2 linked regions of the Mytilus edulis genome follow. The protein of the gene in region 1 purifies or fractionates together with the protein of each later gene. This does not show direct contact. Links are inferred from orthologs where the notes say so. Each region holds a gene or a part of one and is shown on either strand. Other genes may lie near its edges.

Region 1 (6,961 bases):
ATAACATCAAAACCAATTACATGAATTTGGGATAGATAAGTACCCTGATACGTCTTATAGTACATGTAGTAATGTGAATTCACACTCAAATATAAGAGAAAAATTTTAAATTTTTGCGGTCGTATAAAAACTATCATTGTTGTGAATAAAACAGATTGAGGTAACAAAATCTTTCTAAACATATACATGTATACATGGTATATGATCATGAAGATAAGAATAAGAAAATGTAGGTAAATATTAAAAGAAGTAAGTTCAGCAAGGGCTGTATTTGGCTGTGATTATTAAATTGAATGGTACAAGATCAAATATGTTTTAACAATGTTTAAGTTGTCTTATCCCTTCCAGCTGCCTTGACAGAATCTACCCGAGATGATGGCTTGCCTGCCTATTATGACACAAGTGGCCCTTCATATTAAATATTGTCTGTATTTATTTTTTTTCTTCATTTTATTCACTTACATGTACACCATGTTCACAGTTTGTTCATCTTTTGACACAAATGTTTAATATGGGGACAAAGTCCCCCATTACAGTAGAAAATTCAATAAAAAATTTTTTTTTTAAAATCGGGAAAATTTCCCGAATTTTTCATTGTACCTAATGAACTCAAAATCATTCAAAAAAAAATTTCTTGTGTTTTGAATTTCCAGATTTGCGAAGAAATCTACTTCCGTTTCCGGTCTTGTTTGCATGAGACTTTGAATAAAATGTATATTAATCAGTCTAACATGTCTAAGAAAGGAACTTATATTAATACTAATTCGTTTTTAAAAATTGTTTGTTATAAAAAAAAAAAAAAATTACCTGCTGACAGCATTTCTTTGATTACATTGAATATGACGTCATGACTTAAAAAACGTCACAACTAAAATCCCTTACAACAGAACCAAAATCGGAAACGATATTTCCGTTTCTCTTTTTAACATGTTTGATTTTTTTTTAAATCATACAGAATTCGTCCCCATTCACAGGTAATGCCTGCCTCATCTTATTATTTTTCTTTGTAAACAATTAACAATGATTAAAATTTGCTAATTTTGGGCATTTTTTTATATGAAATTCTCAAAATTACACTATTATCTTGTTGATATATTGGTCAATAAATTCATAATTTGAAATTTAAGGGGAAAAGAGGGCCATTTTAGAGCCTTATCAAACCAACTGTAAACAACAAACATGACAAAGGCTCTTTAACCCTATACACCTTATTGCTATTTGTCTGCCATTACTGTATATCACATGTTTCCGTAAAATTTTGACGTCACAAAAAAAAATATCTGACACCACAATCAGTCAGGGGACTTACTTAAATGAGTGATTTTCTAAATCACTGATTCAAGTAACATTATGTTCATAGAGGTTGAAAGTAAGAGTTGTCTTTCTTTAATAATCACCTATTTAAGTAGTACAAATTTATCACTAGAATAAGTGATTTAATTTTATTGTAGTTTTAAATATAGAATATTAATGATCCAGGGACTAATTATGTTTCTAAACTTATCAGAACCAACATCTGTGTTGTTTAGGATGACCAGGTCATGTCAGATGATGACCTTGTACTGAATCTGGGATAATGACATAAAAATCACTTGTTTAAGTATCATACCTCAATTTCCTTCCAAAAAATCACTTCTTTAAGTATCATTATTCTAATAACCCCCACTACTTTCAACAACCTCGAACAGTGAAATTTTTATCGCGAACAGTAGAATTTTATTACATAATCTGAAAGATGAAACCTTGAACTTTACAGGAAAAATACTCCCACTGCTGGGAAAAATCTGTTAATAAAGTATCAGTTCATTAAGTTAAGCCATTATTATAGCATTTTTTCCAATAAAATAGAATTTACAGCTAAATGATAGCATCAAAGGCATAAACCTTGCTACTTTAAAGAAGCAAAAGTTTTTTTTTTCAATTTTACTAATGAAAACATATTATCTAAACCTATGTGTTTAAAATTTTAGTAAAACTACAAAATCACAATTTATGACAAAATTTTGAATTTGCTACTTTATAAATAAGTGATTTATAAATCACTTATTTCAGTAAATAAGTGATTTACAAATCACTTATTTCAGTAAGTCCCCTGACTGACAATTGAAAAGTGATTGTTGTATGCGTCAAAAGTTCAAGCGGCCGGGTCAGCCGGGATTAGCGATAAGGTGTACAGTATTGCTGACGGTGGGACACATATGTCCATGTTTTAATGTATGCAAGCTTCTCATCATTGCTGTACCTCTTTCAAAATAAAAGACCGAAAATTAAAAAGTGTTTCTACAATCAAATGTTAATACAGTCATTACGGCATGACATCATATATCTAATAACCATTGTTTGGCATGTCACGTCACATTAACTTCGAGCGATCATATTTTCTGGCATGTGTCAGAAATGCAACCCTGAAAAACAACTGGCAGCAAGAGGGTTACATATAAATTTTATAAAAGTGCAACTTGTTTACATGGCCTCAGTCATGTCAGTGGAGCATGACTGAAACCACCAACACCGTCAGCAATATTACTGACATGTGTTACAACTTTCAAATACATTTTGTATCTTAATTCTTTCAACAAACAACAGATCCAAATGTGGAATTTTGCATGACAAAAAAAATAAGTTTACTTGGTGTTGTTTGGTTTTTTGTTTGGATTCATTGTCAAATGTGTCAACCACTCATTCCATGTTATTTCAATTTTTGAGGAACTTGTGTATTTATTTATTAGTAAAACAAATGGCGTATTGCGTAGTCAGGATTTCCTTAACTTTCGGTTTGATTTTCTGGTTGTCAACCTGGTCTATCAAATTTTGACAGTTTGGAGCTTCAAAGACCAACCTGGCGGCTTTTGTTCCGCTCTGATCTTCGGTTTTCTCGTTATTACTCATACGAATTTTTAATCTCCCCTTCTTATTTCGTCCATTCAGTCACCCAATAATGAATAAATGTGTTTTGAAAGGTCAAATATTTTTCTCAATTTCTAGAATTCGCCATTTTTGTTTTCTCGTTGAGGCGAGATTAATAATTTATTGTGAATGAATAATCATAACAATTTTCAAAATTATATATAAATACATTTTTATAGAGTTATATATAATAAACTACATTCCACTTGTTCTATATTACATTAATGTTTAAATTATAATGGACAGGTTCCCTGTTTCAACTATTTTAAATTCGGAACCACGATTCTTTTCCGGTTTGACTTTGAATTTATACAACTTCATGCCCACGAAGACGAAAGTCTGTCAAATTTTAATGAATTATATATGTATATTAACAATATGTCAGAGTAAGTGACAATGCAAACAGTGCAAAATATTCAATTCAACCCCAGTGTTATATAATTACCCATTTATGACATATAAAAAACTGCAGTAGGCACAATTCGTGAAACTTTATTTATTTTGCCACTCAGTGCCAGACTGTGTGGCAGACAGTCAGAGCACAGTTCTGACACAGGGGCGGATGCAGTAATTTTCGAAAGGGGGCGTGCTAACCCAGGGCAAAGGGGGGGTGCAAAACATATTTCCCGATACAAATGCATTGATCGGCAAAAATAAAGGGGGGGTGCGCACCCCCGGAACCCCAACTGGATCCGCCACTGTGACATAGACCAAATAATGATAACGTCTCACAAGGCTATTACATGTGTGTTTTTTTACACCTTTCAGTGACATAAGACACAAAAGCAAAATAAAATGAAATGGCCTTTCAAAAGAGAGGCGAAAGACCAAAGGGACAGTCAAACTCATCTATAGATCAAAAATACAAAAATACACTGACAATGCCATGGCTTAAAAATTTCAAGACAAACAGACAAACAACAGTATACCAGACACAACATAGAAAACAATAAATTGAGCAACACAAACCATACCAAATACTGAGGGTTATCTCATGTGCTCTGGAAGGGTAAGCAGATCCTGCTCCACAGTGTTGTTCAATTGTTCCCTTTTTACGAATGTGACCAACCGATTTAGACTATTTACTGGATTTCTAATAATTAACATGAAATCGGTTGGTCACATTCGTAAAAAGGGAACAGGTTTATATTATGACATAAGGAACATATCCGATATTTTTTCAGATATATATCATCTGTGAAACTGATATTTCATAATGGTGAACCAACTTGTGATGGCACCAGTAATATTTACTTCACCATTTGGAACTCTTGGTTAAAGATGTCATAATCATTTGGACTATTAAGGACTGACAGAAAGCAAATTTAACTTTTTGCATATAATTATTTATTGGTACATGTACATGTATTGCTGTACTATATATTTTAAACATGTTAAATGTTATCTGGTTATGTTTGTTATAAAAATATATATATTTCCCAATAGATTTGTGTGTGTGTGTGTGTGTGTTTACTAATACTCTTCTGCAAACACACATTTAGGGTGCTTCACTCTAGCTGCTAAACTGTATCTCTGAGGTCTTTATAATATTCTCATGATTCTTTTGACAATTTACAGGGTGCCATCTATTGTATACAATTTGTCATAAATAATCATACATGTCATAAGGACATATGAGATATGGTTTAAAAGCTAGCTCTAGCCCAAATAATAATCATTGATAATGATGTCTTGAAAAGGTATTCATTTTTAGCTTTGACATCTAGACCAAACACAACTTTTGAGAGAATTTTGCTGTCAACTTTGAGACCCAATATTGCAACAAAATATTCACTAGCGTGACAGCACCAGAGGCATTTATGTATACCATATATCAATGTATATACAATTTAAGTACATTTCACAAATAGAATTATGTCATTAAACCATATAAATATTACACTACATATGCATGTACACCTTTTCTTTTAAAAAAACATGTTTATATTTAAAATATGAAAAATTAAACCCAAGTGAAATAATGCCTGGTAAATCTTCTGCCAGTAGTTTTCTGAAAGTTTTAAAGTGGATACCTGGCCTATAAAATTGAGAATGGAAATGGGGAATGTGTCAAGGAATCAACAACCCGACCATAGAACAGACAACAGCAGAAGGTCACCAAAAGGTCTCAATGCAGCGAGAAATTCCTGCACCTGGAGGCTTCCTTCAGCTAGCCCCTGCAGGGTTGTTACGATTAAAACAATAAATATAGAAGGTCCTATAATAACACAAATTTTTTTTATTGCGAAAATGCAACAGGGTTATAATCGCAATGATTAAAACTTGCATTTTAAATTTTTTTAAATGAATTAAACAGGATTTTTCTCAATATCGCAAAGATAAAAATCGTATTTAAGTCTTAAATGACAATGAATGACAAGATTGCAATTATAAGTGCACCCAATAATTTCTAAATTTACAGTATTTGTTGATATTTGATTTTGTGTGTTTACCAAACTGCATGCAAACCTAGGTTGGTAAGGCTGGGACATATTGTCTTTACACTTTTCATGCTGTTCAAAGGTTCAGGTACGTTATATATACTGAATTTATAGCCTTTTGCAGTAAATATAAATCCTAAAAATTACAAATTTAGACCTCTATGAGTCAAAAGCAGATTCAGACTTATTTATGTCTGAGCTCTGACTGTGAAATCTATTCACACTGTTAGGTTGTTCCTTTATTATTTGATTTGATATTGAGTTTAATGGCTATATATATATGTAAAAAAAATTCTATGTTTCACTTACATTGACTTTATTTCAGTGTTACTAAAGTAAAATAGAAAATGTCTGGAGTTCCTGTTTATCTGAAAGGAGGCGGCAGGGGCAGAGGTCGTGGAAATGTAGAACAAAACAAAGCTAAATGGACAAATGGCGGTAGCTCTGAAAACAATGTCAAGGACGATGGATGGAAAAATGGTGTTGCCAGCAAACAACCAAAAAAAGAAATATCGCAGACCAGTATCAATGGTATGTTTCCCTTTACCATGTTTACATGTAACAATGTTTAGGATAAACATAAAAATAAGAAAATGTAATATGAGTGCCAATGAGACAATTTTTTATCCAATTCACAATGTGTTAAAAGGAAACAACTATAAGTCAAATTTGGCCTTGACTTACACTGAACAGCAAGCTAAAAATACATGTATGATAAAGAGCCCCAAATAGATTTGAGTTATGTAAAATAATTCAAACAGGTAAACCAATGGTCTAATTTATATAATAAACCAGAAACACTTATGAACCACATCAGCAAATGACAACCACTGAACATCAGGTTCCTGACTTAGGACAGGTCCAAATAAATGCAGCAGGGTTTGAATGTTGCATAGTTGCCTACCTTCACCCAACCTGAAACCATAGTGTAACATCACAACATAGAAACACACACTATGAAATATCAACTCAATCAAAAGACAGATTAACAAAAACAAGTGAACATACACTGAAAGAATAATTTTGATCTATTACACAATGCAAATTTATACAAAATTAATAAAACATATCATGGATTTCCTTTTGCAGTGATTAATGTATTAAAGCATCAAAGCTAAGAATAAGGACAATGAAGGAGATGAGGTATGCTCATTGCCAATGAAACAACTGTCCACCATTTTCCACCTAAGATCAAATAAAGTGGATGTAAACAATTATAGACAACTGTACATCCTTCAACAATGAGAAATATATAAAAAACTCACATGATTCAATGTCAAACTTGATTGTAATTGAAATTAAATAAAAATAGAAAGATTTTACTTTTGGATCAATATTCCACATCAATTGACCTACCATCAAAGTAACAGATAATGCTAAAGATGATGCTGTCCATGGTGATAGTCATATTTCTATACTCATTCTTCTCGGAACACTTACAGCTAATTTCCTAATGCATGTAGAACAAAACTTTGGTTAGCTTGCTTACTTTGTTTGTATATTGTACAATCATTAGGATAACACCAAATTAAATTCAAATATGATATATACAGGTTAAACTATGCCTATATAAATTGTTTAAAGATGTCAATCTTATTTACGAAGCTTGTATA
Region 2 (7,566 bases), on another chromosome or scaffold:
TCTCAGCTTAATAAAGAATATTCCGATAATTTTACCTTTTTTAGCCTCGCTCTACTCTGGGAACAGTATATCTAATATATTATATGAATATATATGTTCCTGCTCTGCTCGGCGAAAATTTAAGTTTGTGTCCCTCCTTACCTAAAATGCTGGATCTGCCCCTCATATGGTTTAGGGGTGGGGAGCTCGACCGTTTCCAAGTTATCAAACAGGAGGGGGTGGAGTGGCCCAAAGAATTCCACCTATATATCATATGATTCACTTACATTTAGGTATATATAATATTGTTGCATTATTTGTGAAAATAAAGAAACTTTCAGCTACTTTAATTGACCCTTCAAAATTGAGAAAAAAAAAATAACCCTTCGAAATTGCAGTAATATGTTTACACTTTAAAAGCATCTCACATGCATTATCATCATTTATCACTGATAAAGAAAATTTTAGACTGTGACCATGAACATGTATATTGTTAGATATACTGTTCCCAGCTGTCACATTGTATTGGATTTTTAAATTAAAATTTGTCAAAAAGTAATTTTGAGTTTCTGTATAAAATATTTTTCTGCTTTTTCTTTCTTTTACATATATCTTTTGGTTTACAATTCTAGTGTCTATATTCATTTAAATACCATGCATAGATTTATTTTTTCACCTGCTTTGAATGATCGCCAAACCCGGAATTTTCCTTATCCGCTTCCGGAATCGGATCCTATATTGTAAAATTTTGTCTTCACGGTCGCCATTGTTGTGTTTACAATGTTGTTTTTGTCAATCAGATACGATTTTACTCGAATTTATACAATATTTGTCGGCGAATTTCTGTATAAAGCTAGCGGTTGAACAAAATGAACATCGCTGTCATGAATAATAATGATAAAAATAAGTTTTTAGCTCGTTTAATTGGAGACTTTGGTGACTTGCATGGAGGGTTTGCAAAGTAATTTCTTATTTTCTTTCAAGTGGAAGGTAAGCGTCGGGCGATGCTAGAAACCAACTATCCTAGTCGAAATTCCGCTTGCAAAAGTGGAAGGTCGCGGACCTCGGACCACCGCTAATTTGCACACCTGCCTCCAAATTGAAAAGCTACGAAAATTTCTTTTTCTAATTTGAAATTGCCGCCAACTACTGACGTAATTGTACTACGTATTGATGACAAACAATATCCCTACGACTTTTGCCATTTGGGAAATCTAAACTACTTGTCTTAAGAGATTTTCGGCGATTAAATATTTCATACAATTGTTCTTTGACATCTTAGCTAAAAGCACAAGTCATAATGAACTACACAAGGATTCTTAATAAGCACTACTTCCTACGTGTAACTTCAAAACTTTTGGATAAATCGACGATCATTTAAGGTTTTTCTGGTCATATTTTTTGTAATCCAGAATAAAAAGTATTAAAAAAGTGTTCAATTAGTTATATATAACATAGTAGCGAGCTAGATAATAACAATGGAAAGTATTTCACCATTTATTGGGTAGAACACAAATCTAGGGTGCTCGCATAATGCAGCTTAACTGCATAAAAATCATTTCTAGTTTATCTTTTCCTTTGATCATGATCATCTGGTTTACTATTTCTGAATCTGTAATTTGCATTGTATAAAAGTAACATCCCAGGGTCAGATTAATAAATTTACAAAATTGTATCTTAAAAGATAATCAAAGGGCAGATTGCTCTGAGGAATACTATTGTCATTGTTTTCATTGACACATGTATTTATTATTTCAAAAATAATTCAACTGCACGTGTAAAAGAGGGACGAAAGATACCAGAAACTCATAAATGGAAAATAAACTGACAACGCCATGGCTAAAAATGAAAAAGACAAACAGACAAACAATAATACACATGACACAACATCGCAGTACTTATCACCTATTTTCCTATGTGAATTCTAGGTTGAACCCCATTCCTAACTCTTTTAATATTTAATTTCCTTTGGGTCAGTGGGCATTCCTCTGTTTAAATTGCGATTGGTTTTAATATAATACAACGTCTATCAACAGAAAGATTTTTTTTCTTGACGTATTGTCGTTGACAGATACTTACAGAAGCTAGGGAGACTAGTTGAGGGAGACAACACGAAGCGATAATATGGAAGACTCCATTTTGGCTGAAGGTGTGTTCTTATAACATCTTTACGTTGTGGACTACATTTCTTTTAATTTCAATGATGCATAAGATTTAAAATTATGCAACAACAATAACCCTCAATAGCAGACAGACATAGAAAGGATCTCGTGAGTTGGGAATCTAGAGCAACCATTCAATCTGATACCCTTTCAAGTCAAGAAAACTATATGCATGCGCATAATTACCTAAACAAACTAGACTTGTGATTTGTAGCAAGGACATATATAAAATGTTAATAAAACGACCTCCATTTCCATGATTTCTTTATGGAAGTACAATATCAAATATCAGTTTCATAACGGTGAGGGCATGGGCCTGAGTCAATGGTATAAGTCTACAGATTGCTTAAAAGCAATCCCATCCCAAAAATAAAAGAAGAAATCAATATTAGTCATTATCATTATTTTTTTTAATGTAAAAGAAAACTAAAGAAACAAATATTAATGGAATAAGATGAAATACATACATGTTTGATAAATCATCTCTTAAAATTTTACAAGTCTGATAAACATGATAAAAACTTTATCATCATGATCATAATCAGGCGCGGATCCAGAGGGGGGTTCCGGGGGTTGGAACCCCCCCTTTTTTTTTGGACGATCAATGCATTTGAATGGGGACATATAGTTGGAACCCCCCCCTTTGTCCTGGGTTAGGAACCCCCCCTTTTTAAAATGGCTGGATCCGCCCCTGATAATCATGGCTAAAAGTAAAACTTGTAAACATGGTTAAAATCATAAAGTTATTTTTCAAAGTTATAAAAATGAAAATAAATGAAAATATATACAACACCTTTTCTATAGCATAAAATTATAAACATGATAAATGGGGAATGTGTTCATGGGACCCAGAAGATGCCCCTGCTTGCATATCATTATAAAGGGACATTACTGAACATGCTGAAGAACAGAAAAAGTGACTCTACCAAAATTTGAACTAAATCATGTTAATCTGAGTTTTGTGGTAATAAGACATGTAAGAATTGTGCAAAAGTTTCATAAAATTTGGTTTATGCAAACTTAATTTAGACATGTAAGAGAACAGATACAAAACATTCAGCAATTTTTCCATTCATAAAGGGGCATAACTCTAAAAATTTTAGTGACAACTTTTGTGGTAAGAAGCATAGTGTAAAATTTTCATAACATTTGGTTGAGGGAAACACAAAATTCAGCAATTTTTCCATTTGTCATGTTTGTGAAGGAGCATTACTCTAGAATGGTTAAAGTGAGGCCCCCCCCCCAAATTCAAACTTGATCTTTATTTTGTTGTTTTATTAGCATTGTGTATACATATATACTTAGTAAAGTTGAAGATGAGCTTCATTTCTTATTAGAATGCCCTCTTTATGATATTCAAAGGGACGATTTTTTTAAAGACATTTCTAACAATTGTTGTAATTTTACAAATTTAAATCAATCTTCTAAATTTGTACATGTTGTATGGCTCTTGACCCAAGAAAATGTTACTCTTATGGAAAAACTGGGCTGTTATATTTGTGACTGTTTTGAATTAAGGAGATCAGGTATGAACACTGACACTAAGTCAAGTAAATAATTTGAGAATTAATACATATACATGTATAATGTAATTTTATTATTCTTTTATTCACAATATATACAATGTGTGTGGTTTTTAGCTTGATTCTGACCAACGCTTATATTCCAAATATATATGTATATGCCACTATTGTTGTTGTTACCAATTATGTAAATCAATTGTATCTGATTTTATGCCCTTTATGGGCCCTGTAATTTGGGAAATAAAAATATTCTATTCTTTTCTATTCTATATATGTAAGTTTGATTGCATTTGGTTGAGGCAAACTTAAGTCAGAGAACGGAAATGAAAAATACATAGTCTGAAAATAACACCAAACAGTGTTAGAGTTAGGTTTTCTGCTGATAAATTTTTGTCTGTCCCTCAACAGGATTTTAACTTACACCTTTAATACACTACAGCACCAATTGCTTAGCCTCATGTCCAGTGCTCTAGACCACTCGACCAAATCCGCTGTATAAAAATATAACTTCAATAGTCGTAGTGTTATCTTTTCACAGAAGGCGAATCTAGAGATAGACATAAGACACGTGTAATTTATATATATATATGACATGTAAACTGTACCATGACATAGTCAGCAGATAATTTCCACTGGAACTGTAGTTTTTGATAGCTAATGCAGGAAGAGTTCACCAAACAAACAAGCATATTTGTACAAACAAAATTAAAAAATCAAATTATTTAGTGTTGCATAATTATTCTGCATTACTTTCTTGATCTTCTTTCTTCTTCAAGTTCTTGGTTAAAGAAAAATAAGAAATCTCCCGCAAAATGTAGTTGTTATCAATAATGCAAGAAGAGTTCCGAGCGAATATTTCATCTGGTTGCCGGTCAATGATTACTATGATTCGTGAGACTCAACTCTCCAAGGTACCAGATACAATATTGAATGATGGCTGCCCTCACAGAGTTACCAACCGGTGGTTTTAATTTCGATAATTGCCAGAGGTTTAACTATTTTTAGATATAATAATGATGAATGTTCAAATGACGCCTTTTCAGCATTATCTTTAAATATAAATTTCCCTTCTTTCAGTACCCTGGAAACGATTATCTTCTCATTTGAAAACGACAAGCAATGACTATGCAACTTTGTGTGAAAAAAATATTTATTTGTATACAAAAATGACAAATTTAACGAATTTTCATTTTGATCTACAAGAAAAAAGCTCAGAGGGTTTTCAAATGTGATGATTTCTTCAGCATTGTATATGTATTTTGTGGTGGGAGCTGTTGGTCTTCAAAATTACAGACAATAGACTCTTATTTTTTTTTTATTGTCCAAATAATTTATAATTTTAATGTCTGGCAAAGCTATTTTATTATTTTTCTGTGATGCCGTCCTACGACTTCATAAGGCTGAAGCCATTTTTCACGTCTGGACTTTAAGAGCAAATTTTGGGGGTAACTTTGAGACATAATTTTGACAAGAATTTTTTACATAGTTTCAATGTCCTACCTTTTTTGTGATTATCACTTTTACATTGTGGCGTCAGATGTTTTGTATTATGACGTCAATATTTAAAGGAACCTTTGTGATGTCCAGTAATGGCTGACAAATAGCGATAAGGTGTATTAATACAATAGAAAACCCAATTCAATTAATATTTTACTGAGTGTTTAAAAACCCAATTCATTCAAAGTAGAACCCAATTATTCATGTTATTTATTAAAACTATGCATTCTGCATTTCACAACCCTTTAAGTTGCTGTTACATTCGTTATTTATCTTGAATGATGAATTATTTTTGTGTGATTTATAAATTTCTATTTTTGTATTTTAAAGAAATCTACTTTTTGTTCTTAAAATAGAGCACTTTTAAATAAACCATTGTAATTACTCTGGAGATTTTTGCTCAATTACATGTACTTTAATGTAAATATAAATGAAGCGATAAGGGTTGAGAAGTTACAAATGGCAGATCTAACATGGGTAACTGAGTCCTTGTTTGATTCATTAAACATTTGTCCATTGCTAAAATTTGTAGCTCTTTATTTAAAACAAAAATGCACTATTTCATAAAAATTTTCTTTTTATAACACTAAGGCCAGGGTTTTTTAATTTGTTGGTTTACGGATTTTACCCATGAAAAAGTCGAGTCGGTCGGTCGGAAAAAAAAGAAAAAAAAATATCTTTCAAGACAGAAAAATATGGAAAACAAATATATATTTTATCTTTCTAACAATATGTTTGTGATGCTATTTTATCATCATTTCTTAGATTTTAGTTCGATGAAATCAGCTGTCATAAACATCGCATGACATTCTAATAATTTCCCGTAAACAAAAGGGGGGGGGGGGGGGGGTGCACGTACAAAGAAAATTAATTTCAGAAAACTTGGCGAATTATGATCTTCAAGCACAAAAACTGATAAAGAAAAAAAAATGTAAAAACGTCACGAGTATGAAAGTAAGTTTCAACACACGTGTCAACAAACGTAATAGACTCGTCCACTGGAAAAAACGAGGATATCGGGTTAATCTGTGTCATGCATTACTGTTTTCACAGTGTAGATACTATTCTGTACGCTATCCGGAAGTCGCGATTTTCGAAGCGAGAACTTTTTGGATCACATTTTAAATTTGATAGGTATACTGAATTAAACGGTAAGTTGATCATCTGTACATTGCTTAATGATTAATTCAGCTGGCATCGATATTTTCAAATGGTTAAGAATTAAATTCCGCACAATCATTATTCGTATCTTTGCCTTAATCAAGAGATTTTCAAGTGCATCACTAAGAAAAATCAGTCGGCGAACCTAAACACAATCTTTTTACCCTCTTAGTGTACAAATCAACATAAAAACCTGACTTAATTAACTAAATGAAGTATATTTCAAGTGGTGGTAAAAGTTTCAACCAGATCTTTGAAGCCAGAAATAAGAAAATTACACTTGTTTGAATTTCTCACTGTACGATCAGTCTCGCTTGTATATTTAAAACTGTATGATCAGTCTTTATGTCACTGTATTCTAGTGGTGATTTCAAAGTTATTTACGATACATTAGAAGGTGGCATTTTTCTAAATAACACAAATATATTTCAATGAATTCACATCCTGAAAACTTATGAAACATGTTTTAGCTTTATAGGGTGTACTCGACTTACTACATTAAGAATAAGGATGTTTAAATGTTGCTAAAATAAGAGAAAGGTTTGATGTATACTAGTATATAAGTTTCAGAAATGTCCTCCGTTATTCTTAAAATTGTACAAACACACAGATTTAGTTGTTATATAAAAATGCATGTATTTACACACATTCGAGGCCGTACTGTAGCCAATAATTGATCACAGATGTAGAGCTGTCTCTTTGACACTCAATTGTCCACCACTTTGTCAAGCGGGGGGTTATAGTGATAAAGAATTCCGTCTTTCCGTTCGTCCGTTGGACCGGTACAATATGTTTCGCCAGTTTGGTAAGCGCATCTTCTCATAAATAACTTAATATACATTGGGGGTTCCGGCCATTTTTAAATGGAGAGGGGATCCAATCCAGGAGAAAAGGGGATTCCATTTATGTTATCATAAATGATAATGACTGTATTGTGAACCGTCTATTTCAAATTTTAGTAAAAATCTTGTATGGGGTTACTTTATATAAGATACGGACTTGAACATTGCATTATATGGGGACACCCATCAGGTATTTCCAACACCTCCTAAACCAATCATTAAACTTTTCTGAAATTGCTCCATTTTTACTCGATTAATGCATTATGGACCTTCTATTTCTGTAAACTTACCAAAATTATATCACATGAATTATCCCCCTACGCAAAGCTGTCTTTATCCATTTTTTGTTATTTTAAAAGAGACAATCTTGATTTATGTTATCATCAATTGTTCAACGGCGGA

What was found. The genes of interacting proteins can lie anywhere in the genome.
Region 2: the proteins of ubiquitin-protein ligase E3A-like (region 1) and proteasome subunit beta type-7-like purify together in Homo sapiens (affinity purification with mass spectrometry, with the first as the bait; 3 studies listed by BioGRID). This does not show direct contact. The link is inferred for Mytilus edulis from reciprocal best matches to the Homo sapiens genes UBE3A and PSMB7.

What each region holds. Positions count from the first base shown.
Region 1 is NC_092351.1:84,602,457-84,609,417, reverse strand, and holds the start of ubiquitin-protein ligase E3A-like, read right to left. Parts: upstream 3,022-6,961; 5' UTR 2,890-3,021; coding exon 2,840-2,889; intron 1-2,839. Other genes in the region: NF-X1-type zinc finger protein NFXL1-like, read left to right, coding at 5,696-5,879. UniProt on the Homo sapiens protein: E3 ubiquitin-protein ligase which accepts ubiquitin from an E2 ubiquitin-conjugating enzyme in the form of a thioester and transfers it to its substrates.
Region 2 is NC_092345.1:65,567,835-65,575,400, forward strand, and holds the start of proteasome subunit beta type-7-like, read left to right. Parts: upstream 1-4,543; 5' UTR 4,544-4,594; coding exon 4,595-4,653; intron 4,654-7,566. UniProt on the Homo sapiens protein: Component of the 20S core proteasome complex involved in the proteolytic degradation of most intracellular proteins. This complex plays numerous essential roles within the cell by associating with different regulatory particles.